Linked DNA regions of Elephas maximus indicus. The protein of the gene in region 2 purifies or fractionates together with the protein of the main gene of each other region. This does not show direct contact. Links are inferred from orthologs where the notes say so. Each region holds a gene or a part of one and is shown on either strand. Other genes may lie near its edges.

Region 1 (7,800 bases), on a different chromosome or scaffold from region 2:
TGTATCACTCATTCATTCATTCACCAAAAATGTGCGTATATATTATATACCAGGTACTAATCTCGAGATAAAAAATTGAATGATAGCTCTCTTCTCAAAGACTCTTCAATTTACCCAGACAGACACAACCTTGAAACTGTAACATAATGTGATAAACACTAAGCCAGTGGTCTGTTAAGGAGGGCAACAGGAACACAAAGAAGGTGGTGATAAATTCTACCGTGGAATCCTAGGGAGAGGCACAGAGACAAAACAAGAGCACAGTGCATTTTGGGACTACCAGTGGGCCAATGGGCCAACGGACCACAGGAGCACGAAAAGAAAAGTGAATTAAAATCTCCTGAGAATCTTTTACAGCATACACTTGATTCTGACTCAGTCTCCCACTCTGGTTGACGACCACTGCGCTAAAGCACAGGGCGTATACAAGAAAAGCACGAAGAAGATGCGACTGGTAAGTCGAGTTGTTCCACCTGTCGTAACTCCCCAGCACAACAGACTGGCCACCAGGACTTGCTGCAGCTGTGGTGAACTCCCGCTCCTGAGGGTCACGGCTGTAATCAAAAGTTTGTAGCACATGGCCTTCCTTTCCATAGGCCACAATCCTCCGATCGCAGCCTGCAGCCACGATGCTGTTCGTTGCCCAAGCCAAGGCATAGGGTGGGCATGGGTGGTTAACCAACTTCCCCTAAGACAGAAGTAGAGGGTTTCAATCATTCTGACTCTGAGGACTGTTCCTCGGAAATTCCTCATTCCTGGCACCCCACACACTCACTCTCACCATTCTACCCTGCAGAAATTTTCCTCCCAACGTTTTCCTAATTCCTAATCCTAATTCCTGAAGGCTTCACAAACTGTCTCATACTAATACGTATACGTCACATATACATATGTCATATATAACATTTACTGACCTTCTGCTCTAGAGGAAACGCCAACATACCTGTGTGTTGGAAGATCTTTAATCTGTACCGAGTAAGGCCCCCAAAAGGGAGACTTCCTATACATCAACCAACACTGTCTAGGCCCACAGAGAGCAAATGGCTCCTTTTTTAAAGAGAGCTAAATTTAACTAATTATTACACAAGTAAGTCTCAATGTAAATTATTCAGACGAGAATTATACCGAATGAAACACAAAAGTTCCCTTTTATCTCTTATCCTTTCCCTTTTTTCTCTCGAGAGTAAACTGTTAAATTTTTTCCTATCAATTTCTACACATAAATATATATTTTACATAAATTGGAATCGTTTTCACCTTTCATTCCCCTAACAGTCTTTATTTCCCTTTGTCTCAAGGTCTCTTCCGCTGGAGTCACCTCGTCCCATGAATATTAAGCTCTGGCCTCCTAGACACAAGTCCTCTCTGTGGCTGCATCCAATCAGCCCCATCCCACTGCCCTCCCCAAGATGTCACTCGTCTAGCCTCCCTACCCTCAGCACCTCAGCCTACATTCCTCAGATAGCCCACCTCCTCGAGGCAGGCTCTTGGCATTTCCTCATCCCCTATCCCAGAACATCCTTTACTCATACCTGTGACTCTCCAGAGCCTTCATCATCAAAAAAATACCTAACAATGGTACCATCTGCATGACCAGAAAGAATTCCTTTCCCAGAGCAACTAAAAAAAGCAAGAGGGGAAAAGGAGGAGAGGAGAGAAATACAAGAAAGTGATTATTCTGTCTCACTAGGGAAATCCTCTTTCTCTGCCAAACGCTGCCCTACTGTGGTTTCTGCTACCAATCCTCCCCGCTCCCATCTTTCACACTATGATCTCCCAGTCCAGACTTCCTATAGCTTTTTTCTTGTATTTCCAAGCTCTTGTGATACCACTCTTCCTTACTCACTTTGTTGTCAATGACACCACATAAGAATCTGTCCCATAGATGGTAGACGATTTATTAGTTTTAGTGTTTGCTAAACGAACCTGAAAATGAAAAAATGGACACAAGGCTGGTTAGGCTACTTTCAATATCATTTAGGCCCTGGGAAAAGAAAAACAAAACAAAACAGGTCCCTGTGTACGCTCTCCCAGTACACAACTTGACCCTAAGGGAGATGATTAACTACTTTCCAAAACTATTGCCCTACCCGTTACCTCTCCTGTGTTTCCTTCCCTTTTTTACCTTCCCCTCGGCCAGTCCAAAGACAATGATGTACTCTGCTGGCCACTGCAGACAAGTAACAGCACTCTGTATGAAAGAAATAGTAAAAAGGATAACCCTGTTTGTGTGGACTAGCATATTTCTAACCCCCTGAACTACCTCACCACATGCACCACCCTAGTCTCCTCAACTGGCCTCTGAGGAGGAAAGCAGAATAGGAAGAGCAGCCAGTCACCACCATCCTTGCCATATGAAAAGTCAGACACAGACAGAAAATGCAACACTTGGGTAAGCAGATATATTGACACGTGTTTGTTCACCCTAATCTCCAGGGATTGGTCTGCACTTTACCGTCTGGATGAACTTGTTGCAGATGACTTTCTTGTCACCCCTGCCAGATAAAAGGGAGGAAAGCATGTTAAAAACCACTTCCATAAAGGAATTCCCAAATATGATGCTGGGGTAAGGGAAGAAAGGCGAGATACCTTCCCTGGCCCACAAGTGTTTCCTACCATTCTGTAGGAACCCTGAAAGGACACATAAGAGCTCTAGAACAATAACAAAGACACAACACCACTTTGGGCTCCCCAGGATCTCACAGGGCCTCCTTGTTGATCTTAGACTGATTCCTCCAGGGACGGAACTGCAGAACATGTGGGACAGGCAACGGCAGAGAAGCAACACAGTAGACTGCAGAAAGTCTCGGCCTTCCACGCCCAAGCCTGGCTTCTCATCCTCTCTATTCCTCCTCCCCAGTGAGGCATTTCTCTTGCCTTCCCCTTCTTTTCTTAGCCACCCCATCTCTCAGTCTCTAGCCTCACCAATCTTCTCCAATCTTGTAGACATAGATGATGTTGTCAGTCTGTCCTATGGCAATTTTAGTGGAATCAGGAGAAAAAGCCATGCCCTTCACCATATAGCTCTTCCTGCCATACTAAGAGTCAAAAAAAAAAAAAAAAAGTAATGAGTGTACATTATAGAGAAAGGAGAAGAAATGGTGCATGTGTGACTACAGTGGGGTTGAGGGAAGTATCCTGGAAGAGGAGGGGTGGGCCATTTCCTATGCCCAGGGCTAGGAAGTGGGTTAGGAAGTTTTCCAGGTTTGAGAGGTCCCATCAACAGGTTAAGGTACACAGGAGTACTCTCTTCACCTTCATGTCAGCTGGCTTGGTGGAGAATTTATCTCTCCGCTCCCCATGTTCATCATAGAGCAACACCACTCGGTCCACTGTACAAACAGCAAATTTGGCATTGTTCTGGGACCAGGCCATGCAGGTGACCTTTGCAGCACCATCCTGCAGAGGCAAAGGGAAAAAAAGTAAACCCAGGTACCGGTCTAGAATGCCAGAAATATTCCTAGTTCCATTACTTCTGGTGTGACTTCGCCAATCTTCTTCCTGCCGTGGTCCTTCCATAAAACAGAGAGAAACCTGCAGCCCATCCTGGTCTCCAAGGCCATCAGACACTGGACTGAGAGAAGAGAATGCTTCCAGTGGCCCATAATGCAAATGCACTAAGAGGTGATGGTTCAACTGTACCAAGGCGTCTCTGCAGTGGCCTTCTTGTTTCCTCGACTATTGAAATAAATCAATTGGCCTGATAAGTTTTGATCTTTAGCCATTCAATTAATATTTTTTGAGCACCTTACTGAGAGAGGCACTTGGCTAGGGGCTGAGTGGGATATAAAGAGCAAAACATCATCCCCACCCTTAAAGGGTTTAGGATCTACTAAGATGGTGCGAACAGGAAAAGACCCACAAGAGGTACATATAAAACGCTATAATATTTTGGGTTAAGTCTGAGATAATTTTATATTTAACTGATCAATTACCATTGAAGAATGGATGCAGTTGAGTGGGAGAAATTATCTGAGCATCAGCAAAAGCAAGTTCTAGTCAAGAAGCAGTAATTTAGTTTAGCTGAAACTGTGCTGTAAATAGGAGAATACAGGAGGTAAAACAGGAAAACTAGGGCTTATTTGGCAGGAAAGAAGCAGAGAGTGAAAATTTCTGGAGTGGGGAGTAAAATAACCATAATTGAGGCTTAGGATGGACAATGCCACTTTTTTTAAACTATTCACTTCCCAGGAGCCCAATGAATTATTCACATCATGTCTGTTCTTCCCACCACCAGCCCTAGTCCTCTGTGGTTCTGCCACTAAGGATTTCCCTCCTTTAAAACTTTTTTTATTTTTTTTTTTTTTTACCTTTTGCTCTAATTCTGTGATTAATTGGCTGCACAGCACTGGCTTAACATACTGCTATCTTCCCCTTTATTGCCAACTTCCAGAGTCAGAAGTTTAAGGTTCTTTTCATCAAAATCTTCAAAACAGAGTCAGAAAATAGTCACACCACCACCATTACCATTCTTCAACTCTTGATTACATTAGGTTAGAAGGGCTGAGGGCTCCTCAACAACTTTTGCTGATAGTCCTGCTTCAGCATTTTGCCCAATCCTGGGCATTCAGCCTACGCTGCATCATGACATCATCTTATTTTGAAAGATTAAGGACAATTTCATTTCCAGTTGTTCCATTAGGGTAAAGGAATTTTTTAATTACAGATTCAGGGTGCAGTTTACTGAGAAATGAGCACATCTCTCTTTTGTTCTAATTTCCTTGTAGTCTCTAAATGCCACATCCTCTGTGAAGCTTTCCTGATTTCCATAATCAATTAATTCTCCTTTCTCTGCAGTCTGTACCCCACAGAACTTTCGCGAGGATTAAATGAGGTACGGGATAGAATAATAATAACAACTAACTTTTAACAAGTACTTAGCATGACTGGGTATTTTGCTAAGTGCTTGACATGCATTATCTCATTTAACCTGTATCTCTGGGATAGGTGCTATTATTATCCCCTTTTATAGGTGGAGAAACTGAGGCAAAAAGGTCAAGTAATTTGCCCAAGGTTATTAAACGGCAGAAGCAAGATTTAAATCCATGTATGTCTAATTCCACAGACCACAATTCTAACTTCTTTACTGATGCTGCCCTGGTACATAATAAGCACTCAGTAATGGCAGATAACTTTGGACATGTTATCAAGAGGGACCAGTCCCTGGAGAAAGACATCATGCTTGCTAAAGTAGAGGGTCAGTGAAAAAGAGGAAGGCCCTCAACGAGATTAATTGACACAGTGGAGGCAAGGATGGGCTCAAGCATAACAATGATCGTGAAGATGGCACAGGACCCAGCAGTATTTTGTTCTGTTGTACACAGAGTCACTCTATGAGTCGAAACTGACTGGATGGCACCTAACAACAATGGCAGATATTAATCTTATTAGCTGAGCATTATTTTGTCCATTCAATTTGGATGTCCTTCCTTTTTTGTCTATCAATTTTCACACTGCTTTTTAGTTTGCAAAGTTCTTCAATTAATTCTCCCCCAAATCTCCTACGACTGCTATTATTATTAGTCCCATTTGCCAAATAAAGAAGCTGGGTGAGTGCTCAGAGCAATTATGCAGTAAGAACTAAAGTCAGAGTGATCAAGTTGTTTAAAAAGGCGGTGGAACTGGGACTTGATGTCGGGTTTCCTAACCCTCAAACCCAGCTTCTTACCACCAGGTTTCAGGGTTCCTCCGCTAGTGCCCTGACTTCTCTGAATCCTGAGATCTTCCCCATTGGAACGTACCGTTCAATTTTCTGCACTCCCTCTATATCGCGCTTGTTTAATTTTGTGCAGATTTATGTTCGCTGTTTACATGTGCACCTCTCCCTGTGTATGAGCCTTTTGAAGTTAGGAAGAATAACTTCGGTTTTTTTTTTTTTAACAGGCCCAGCACGGGGGCCTCGTACGCAAGCTCCTACTGAATACTATCGACAGAGCAGAGTTCGAATCATCCTTATACCCTTCATAGTCTTATGCACACAGTAGGAGCTCAACATCCTTAAACTTCACTTCCCCCACTTTTCTAGGATCTTAAAGCGGCGGCATAAGAAAAAGGCGCACAACTCCTCACCTGAGGGCTCAGCAGGGTCCTCAGGTGCTTCAGCTGCATGACGAACACCTGTCTCTCAGATGCCACCAGACAGCGACAACCCCTGCGGTTACCTGGACAACCCGCCACGCAGCCGCAGCTACAGCCGCTGACGGAGACGCGACCAGAGCGTAACACCCGTCGCAAGGTCAACACGTAGGTTCGTCGCGAAAACATAGAACGTGCGCAAGCGCAATGAGGTCTGGGGCCGGCCCGCGAGGGGGCGTGATGAACCCTCTCCTTGACCAATCCCGTCACGGCTTGCAACCTACAAGACCAAGCCACGCCCACAAGGCTTCGCGAACTCTGGCTCCTACGTAATCGTAGTTTTTCCCGTTCTTTGACGGGCACTGCGCGCGGCTGAGTGCGTTCCCTTCTGCTCCTCACAACCCAGAAGGAAAGCAAGGCAGTTTCTATTATATGCCTTTCATAGTTGACGTTATTGAACTCAAATAGGTTATATGACTTGCACGGGATCACAAGGCTAATAAAGATGGTAGTTAACAGTGAATACTAAGTATGTGTCTGCCAGGTACTATGCCAAGTGTTTTATATGCATTACCTCATTTAATCTCAAAACCACGTTTTGAAGGGGATAATACCACTATTCCCATTTTACATAACAGGAACTCGGGATTAGGGGTGTCACTTTTCCAAGCTAACATAGCCAGGAAAGGACTGAACTGGGGATTCAACCCACAGCTGGTGGATTTAAATATCCTTTACATTCCGGCTCAAGTCCTAGCTCCCTATTTCCATGCCATGCCACTATAGCCTGTAACACTCCTATCCCAAGAAATTATGTTATGTCCACAGTCTTCTGGAGAGTGTTCTGGAACCGGTGGCCAGGCAGAAGTAAGTGTCTTACTTCCAAATAGGGAGACAGAGAATTGAAGACTGCTCCTTAGATCAGGATGCCTTTATGGCTCAGGGTGGAGGGCACACCAGAGCTTGGCTCACCTGATAGGTTAAGTCTTGGGATACCTGAAGTTAAAGCTTGGTTAAGTAGAAAAAGATAGCGACTTCTTAATTTTAGGATTGTGTAGCTAGAGTCCTTTCCAGAATTACTGGTCTAATTTCTTGTAACACTAGAGAGACAGAGGCGGAAAAGGAGAATTACTCATAAAACCTCCTCTGGAATGATCCCAAATTGGGAGACCCTTAACCCTCTGGAAAGTGTCCCAAAAGCTGTCCAAACAGAGTCTGGCTCCTGAAACCTTTTCCTCCACAGTGGTTACAAATGTCAACGGGTTATTTCTTTCACTGCCACCAAGCCCCCTTGGAAATTAGGAGAGAGTCGAGGACAGTCTCTATTTTCACAGGAAACAAGTAGGCCCCAGAGGGTCAGAGCCCAAATTAGAATTATTTTCACAGGGGAGTCCAAACCCCTCAGTTTTATTTCCAGAATTCTCTTGTGGACAAAGTGGCAGAGCCTGAATATAAACTCATTTACACTTCACAATTATTATTAGTGACTTTGACCAACTGAACAGAGACAGAGACACAAGTTTACGAAGGCAGGGAAACAGAGGGGCAGGGATCCACAGAGAGAAGCACATGGCACCAAGAGATCCATTTGTACAGCTGCTCTTTCATTAGTTCCCAAGATACTGCTCAGTCCCATTTCTGTCCACGTTTGATGAAGAGGCAGAAGAATGAATGGTGAGGAGTTGGGCTGCCAACATGGGTAGTGAAGATAAAAAGGCTACTGGC
Region 2 (7,048 bases):
CGACCCTACAACACAGAAGAGAACTGCCCCATAGGGTTTCCAAGGCTGTAATCTTTATGGAAGCAGACTGCCACATCTTTCTTCCGTGGAGCAGCTGGTGGTTTGAACCTCCAACCTTTCAGTTAGCAAGTGAGTGCTTAACCACTGTGCTACTGGGCTCCTTTGAATCACCTGAGGAGACCATAAAAAATATTGATGCCCATCCAAACATTGCCTCTTCCCTCATCAATGCATCAAATCAGAGCTTTTGGGAGCAGAGCCCCAGTATTTTAAAAGCTCGCTAGATGGTTCTAAGGTACAGAGAGGCTTAAGAAGTTCATTCTCACTCTAACAAACATTTGTTGAAATTTGCTAAATCTCCTAGCCGACTGAAAACAGTCCTACGAAGATCAATATAATTTACACCTAAATATGTGTGGAACAAAACATGTTAGCAACAACATTTGAGTCAGTTTGATCAAAAATCTTAATTTGCTTTTTTTATTTGTAGCTATTACTATTATGTTTATATCATAGTTATCATTGCCACTTTTCATAACAATCAGCAGCCTGCTTCTTCATGTTTCCCCAACTTTTTGTCCTGCGATAGGTGTAAATGCTCTGAATGGTAACATATAGTTGAGAAAAAAAAAAAAGCCGGGCAGCGGGGCGGGGGGGGGGGGGCATGAAGCCCTTCCAGGTATGTGTTTACAACCCTTTCAAAGCACCCACCCACCAACAACTCATCTTTTCCTTACAGGATAATCCCTCGAGGACAGAGAATAGGTACTGATAGGCCTAGGTCAGTGGTTCTCAGACTTAAGTGTACACCAGGACGACCTGGAAGGCTTGTTAAAACAGACCGCTAGGTGCCACCGCCGGAATTTCTGATGCCGTAGACTTGGGAACAGGTCTGAGAAAGTGCGTTTCTAGTAAGTTCCCAAGTGAGACTGATGCTGCTGGTCTGGTGGCCTCACTTTAGAGCCACTGAACTAGGGTATCTCCGCTTGGATCCATGATTCAAAGTATCCTGCTGAACCCCTGAGGAAACCGTACAGAGCTGACAGCAACAGAAATCTTGAGGTCATTTTCCTTTAGCTTCAAAAATATACTTGGAAAAAAAAAAGTTATCATTTTGATTAACAGAAAATATAAGCTGTCTATATTAACCTGATCAATTCATTCTAGTAACTCCCAATCCCACAATTTAAATCATAGATCAAGCAACACTGCTTCTTTTCCCTCTACTTTTCTGCCGTTAAGAGCTGACTTAGCAATATCGACAGTACCCATCCAGCCTACCTAGCATGAACCAAGAAAAGCACTTGCCGTGCAGTCAAGGGGATTAAGCGTCCTAAGAGAGCAGAAGAATGAGATGGAAACTGTCAAGGGAAATTATTTGAGTTTACCTATAGGTATTAAGAGGAAGTGCTAAAGATTCCTAATCTACCTGTTATACAACAAGATAAACACCTGTGAGCTCTAACGTGATGACAAAGCTATAAAACGTTCTTGTCGGGCCACAGCCAGGCTACCCCGATTGGAGGATAAAGTGCTCCCGTCCGTTCCCTTCAGCAGCTAACGGCACTGCCTTCAGGATGTGACGAACTTTGCCCACCAAGAGTAAGGGCTGAACTTTAGGTTCTAGGGTACGGGGACAATTCCAGGGGTTGTCGTTTTCTTTGTCTTTCCCACTTTCGGTTTCTGAGAGTACCACAGCAGTCAGTCAACAAGCTCACTAACTGCAAACAAAGTGCTCAGCAAGGTAGTAGGAGGGGCCGGTTCTCAGAGAGGACAACAAATACTGGACAGAGATCGGAACGGTAACAGCACCCGTCTCTGGGGACGACACTATGGGTGATTTTAGTATTTTTCTACACACAGTTTCTTGTGCTTTTCTAAGTTATCTAGAGTGGATGTTTTTATTCCTTTTAGAACCGTAAAACACAGCCTGCGTTTTTTGGAGGTGCCTGTGTATGTTTTAAACAGGAAGGCTGTCTCCCAGTCCTTCCTGCCGCTCCCAAACCTGTTGCTCCACAAAAATGCCAAGTCGGGGCCCTCGGCCGCCAGCTTCGGGGTGACTGCCCGCGCGCGCTCCGGCCGGAAGGTGGAGGCAGGGCTCGCGGACCCGCTCGGCGCCCGAAGCAGGCCCGACGGGGAAGGCACCTCCCCGGGGCCCGGCCGGCACCCAGGCGCCCGGGGCGAAGGGACCCACCTGGACGGGGGCTTCAGGCTGTCCTTCCGCAGGACTTCCTCCTCATAGCGGAGCAGCTTCAGCTTCTCCAGCAGGTCCTCCATCACCACGAACATGTGGTAGGCCGCGCCGGGCCCGCGCTCCACGGCCACCTCTCCGGCTCCTTCGCCGCAAGGCCGAGATACCCCGTCCTCCAGGCCCGACGGCGTGACCACCGCGGCGGCGGCAGCCATCGCAGGACAGACAGAGAGACTCCGGCGAGGGCTCCGGCCTCCGCCGCCCGCGCAGCGGCCGCCAGGACCGCCGCCTCCCGTTGCTAGGCGACCATCGGGCAACTCGTCACCAGGGAAACTAGACTCCGCCTCCATCCCGGAACCTCCGCGTCACTTCTAAATTCCCTCCAACCGGGGCGGGCCTTCCAGGTGACGTCACCACGGACCCCGCCCCTCCGACGGCAGGGAGGAGGTGGCTCGGAGGCAGCCCCGCCCCTGGAGGCGTGGCGTTCCGTGCCCCACGTCCGGCCGCGCCTCTTCCCGCGGCGGCTTAAAGGCGGGGCGGGGCCGCCCGCGTTCGTCTCAGCCTCCCCGGGGGCGGGGCTTCTTGCCCGGCTGTTTGCTAAGGGCCGCCCGCGTTCCTTTCAGCCTCTCCGGGGGCGGGGCCGCCCGTGTTCCTGAGTCTCAGCCTCTCCGGGGGCGGGGCCGCTTGCCCGACTGGTTGCAAAGGGCCGCCCGCGTTCCTCTCGGCCTCTCAGGGGGCGGGGCCGCCCGCGTTCCTGAGTCTCAGCCTCCCCTGGCGGGGGGGCCCCGGCTTGCCCGGCTGGTTGCTAAGGGCGGCCCGCGTTCCTGAGTCTCAGCCTCCCCGGGGGCGGTGCTTCGTGCCCGGCTGGTTGCTAAGGGCCGCCTGCGTTCCTGAGTCTCAGCCTCCCCGGGGGCGGTGCTTCGTGCCCGGCTGGTTGCTAAGGACCGCCGGCGTTCCTGAGTCTCAGCCTCCCCGGGGGCGGGGCTTCGTGCCCGGCTGGTTGCTAAGGTTGGCCCGCATTCCTGAGTCTCAGCCTCCCCGGGGGCGGGGCTTCGTGCCCGGCTGGTTGCTAAGGACCGCCGGCGTTCCTGAGTCTCAGCCTCCCCGGGGGCGGGGCTTCGTGCCCGGCTGGTTGCTAAGGTTGGCCCGCATTCCTGAGTCTCAGCCTCCCCGGGGGCGGGGCTTCGTGCCCGGCTGGTTGCTAAGGGCCGCCCGCGTTCCTGAGTCTCAGCCTCTCCGGGGGCGGGGCTTCGTGCCCGGCTGGTTGCTAAGGGCCGCCCGCGTTCCTGAGTCTCAGCCTCCCTGGGGGCGGGGCTTCGTGCCCGGCTGGTTGCTAAGGGCCGCGGGGCCGGCGCCTGGGCCTGCTGGTGGGCAAGATGAAAGGGAGACCGAGAGGCTTAGTGTTGATAACTTCGCTATCCCGCTGATTTTTTTTTTTCTTCTCAATATTGAAAGTTTTCAAGGCAGTCGATATTGTAGGTTTCACTTTATCGCAGGAATTTTCAAAGAGAGAGTCTTCTTAAAAAACTTAACCTCTACCTTGTGAGGCAGTGGTTTATTTGATTTAACGGCGTGTTATAATACGTGACGAAAGGCCCATCGCCACCCGAGTGCTCGGAAGGGGCTTGCTGGGGAGGCGGTGGAAGAGGACAGACCGAGACGACGAGCAAAACGGGGACCTCGGGAGCGTTCGTTCTGCTCCCAAAACCACGCTCCGCTCAGCCCGCTGCCCAGTGGTTTAAGCCCATTACATGCAGCATGCAGCTTTGGGGTACCTTGTCAACACCAACAAAATAAAGGAGATTATCTTGCAAGAATCTCCCTGCGCTGTAGTCTTAAAGGGAGCCCTGGTGGCGTAGTGGTTCAGTGCGACGGCTGCTAATGTAAAGGTCGGCGGTTCAAATCTGCCAGGCGCTCTTTGGAAACTCTATGGGGCCGTTCTACCCTGTCCTGTAGGGTCGGAATCCACTCCACTGCAACGGGTTTGGTTTTTTGGTTATAGCGCTAAATGCGGCTAAAGACCAGGTGGTACTTGTTACTTGCTATTGACCTAAAATATACATGCAAGAAAGGGGACTAACTGACCACTATATGGACCGGCTTTCCAGTGCTCGGCAGCCTGTGTATGGAGCAGCTTTCCTAACAGCTGTCCTATAGGGTCGCTATGAGTCAGAATTGACTTGATGGCAATGGGTTTTTAATGGGTCACCGAAAGTATGAGGTAATTGGTAGATGCCCGGAGGTTTCCTGAGGGATGAAAACTTACCAGATTGAACACGAGTTTTGTGTTTAATGTGAGGGATCTCTGATCTCTTGTATCTGCCAGTGAATATATAGAAGAGTCGCACTTTTTGACATAGCTGAAGTTTTAAATGTGCCTGTAATTGTTGTTGGTAGACGAAATGAGCAGAAGAGCACTTTCATTTTAATATCCATCTAGAGCTCACGAATTTGATACTGATAAAAGTATCAAAGTGAAAAATCATAAAGGCAAATACCTTTTCCTAGTTACGAAAGAGAGGAAATACAAAGAGGAAAAGAAAAAAAAAAAAAAACACCATAAAACTGACCTATGTAGAAAGTAACTCAAAAGGGAAGGCCAACTGAGAAATGCTTTTTAAATAACATTGTTTCCATGATGAGTCATTAATCAGCTTTTTTAAAATAAAAATAAGCACGAAAGTTGGGTTTGACTCTATCCCACTGTCAAACTGGTCTTTCTTTTTCTTAGCCCTGTGGAAGGAGTGATTCTTCCCCATACATCCCCACTACCACATGTTTGGGAAGTGTAGTGTGTTGTGGTATGCGTGTATAACTTTCAGAGCACAAAACAGCTGGATATAGCTTTTTAGGATGAAAAAGAAATCAGTAAAAGCTGAGATACATACTTTGGGGTGTTCGGTCAAGCAGCCTGTGGCTTTTAAAATGACTTTGAAAAAGGTGTCAGAAGTCAAACGGTAAATAGGTTACACCTAGGAAAATGGATGTCCACCTGGAGCATGATGCCTGCATAAGATGCTCTGATGTTTTCAGGACTTGTATAGCATGTAGTGTGAAGTAGTCAAGCATTGCTTTTTGGCTGATGAGAACTCTCCAAAAATGATGAATGTACTTTCATGGGGTGGGGAGACTCTCCTAGAACCTAGCTGTTTCCTTCTCAGGTACAATATTGACTTAGCCTGGCTTGAAAGCTGTTTGAAGAATTATTCTTCCCTTTTTAATTTAGTCTTAAAAAGAAAAAAAGCAACAACACTAAAACAAAATGTCCCCAATAACTGTAGTGGAGCCCTGGTGGTGCACTGGTTAAGAGCTTGGCTGTTAAACAAAAGGCCAGCAGTTCAGATCCACCAGCTGCTCCTTGGAAACCCTATAGGGCAGTTCTACTCTGTCCTATAAGGTTGCTATGAGTCTGAATTGATTCGATGGCAATGGGTTTGGTTTGCTTTTTCAGTAACTGTGGGAGCACAGAGAGAATGAAAGAAATAAAAGAAAAGCCAACTTTTGAACACTGTGTTTTCCCACAGCAAAAATGTGGGGAAGAACAGTAAAATGTCATTTTATTTTTATAAGTCTCAGGAGTAATTTTTCCTGATTCCTTAGTTACCCACAATAAATAGTCGATAACACACCAAAAGGTCTTTTCCTTGATGGAAGTAGTATCCTTCACGTATGTGAGCAAACCCACACTCAAATCCTGTCTGAGCCACTTGGAAACTTTTGAGTACCTTTGTGTTAGTTTTTTTTTTTTTTTTTTTTTTACAGGACTGGCTCTGAAATGCATTGACAAAGGAGTGAGGACTTGAAGAGAATGTAATGTCGAAGTATGTTCATGCTGCCTTTAAAGGATCTTAAGAGAGATTTATCCCTGGCTCTACTGTGTTACCACAGTTCATAGCTGGGCTTTTGACTTTGATCTTTTGCAAACTATCTATAAGATGACCAGAGGTGATTTTGAGGCCCTCAGTGTCTTCCAGTGAATGGCCTAATCTCTGAAAATGGAATAACTTCTCATTCAAAGTTGACTGAACAGCATTCCGATGAAAGTTTATTTAAGCTAAATAGATTTCTCTGAAAGTACTTAGCAAGGCTGGAGGCGAAAAGGAGATGGGTTCAAAGACTGAAGAAGGCTTTCAAGCTGCATCTCCAAATATAAGAACAAGTCCTCCAAGAAAAGTGGGCAGGCTTAAAGAACCAAGCTGCTTTGTGTTATAAAGTGGCTTAGTACCACTCATTCATGGCTTTAAAAACTTAGAAAACCACTAACTGAATAATGCTTCTCTAATCTAATAAAAAATGTCTGCTAAAAATCTAGGGGAAAAAAGTCATATTTAAATATGACGCATTAGATGCCATGACTTCTAGAGCTGAGATCAAGGTGAAGACATTCATTCTGAATTCAAAACTGTACTAGAGATCAGAGTCGGTGTACAGAGACAAAAAAAAAATTAAAAAATAGGGGTATTACAAAAGAAAAAAAAACTATTGCAGTTGATATGATTGACTAAGTAAAATATCCAAGAGAATCTGCAGACAGGCTACTAAGACAGCACAGCAAGATTGCTGTATGTGATATCCAAATTAAAGAAAAGTTATTAGAAATAGTAGTTAGGAAAAAAGAAAGAAAACAACTCTCAATAACAAACCATATATAGTACCTAAGAGTAAATCTATCATTATCTTTGTGGAGAAATTACTAAACTTTATTGAAAGTCATGGAAAAATCTAAATAGGGGTATAATGTTCATGGAAAGAAAATCAATATCTTTGCCCAATCTATAAACTCAGTGGAATTTCAACTTGAATTCCTAGTGGGTTCATCCTGAAATCCATATGCAAATTTTAACGAAGCTTGAGGAA

What was found. The genes of interacting proteins can lie anywhere in the genome.
Region 1: the proteins of IFT57 (region 2) and IFT172 purify together in Homo sapiens (affinity purification with mass spectrometry; 3 studies listed by BioGRID and IntAct, counting the BioPlex papers as one, with this or other methods). This does not show direct contact. The link is inferred for Elephas maximus indicus from reciprocal best matches to the Homo sapiens genes IFT57 and IFT172.

Annotation. Positions count from the first base shown.
Region 1 is NC_064830.1:45,974,227-45,982,026, forward strand, and holds the start of IFT172 (intraflagellar transport protein 172 homolog), read right to left. Parts: upstream 2,926-7,800; 5' UTR 2,906-2,925; coding exon 2,456-2,905; intron 2,192-2,455; coding exon 2,126-2,191; intron 1,927-2,125; coding exon 1,847-1,926; intron 1,621-1,846; coding exon 1,533-1,620; intron 689-1,532; coding exon 474-688; intron 1-473. UniProt on the Homo sapiens protein: Required for the maintenance and formation of cilia. Plays an indirect role in hedgehog (Hh) signaling, cilia being required for all activity of the hedgehog pathway.
Region 2 is NC_064836.1:80,387,016-80,394,063, forward strand, and holds the start of IFT57 (intraflagellar transport protein 57 homolog), read right to left. Parts: upstream 3,003-7,048; 5' UTR 2,542-3,002; coding exon 2,195-2,541; intron 1-2,194. UniProt on the Homo sapiens protein: Required for the formation of cilia. Plays an indirect role in sonic hedgehog signaling, cilia being required for all activity of the hedgehog pathway.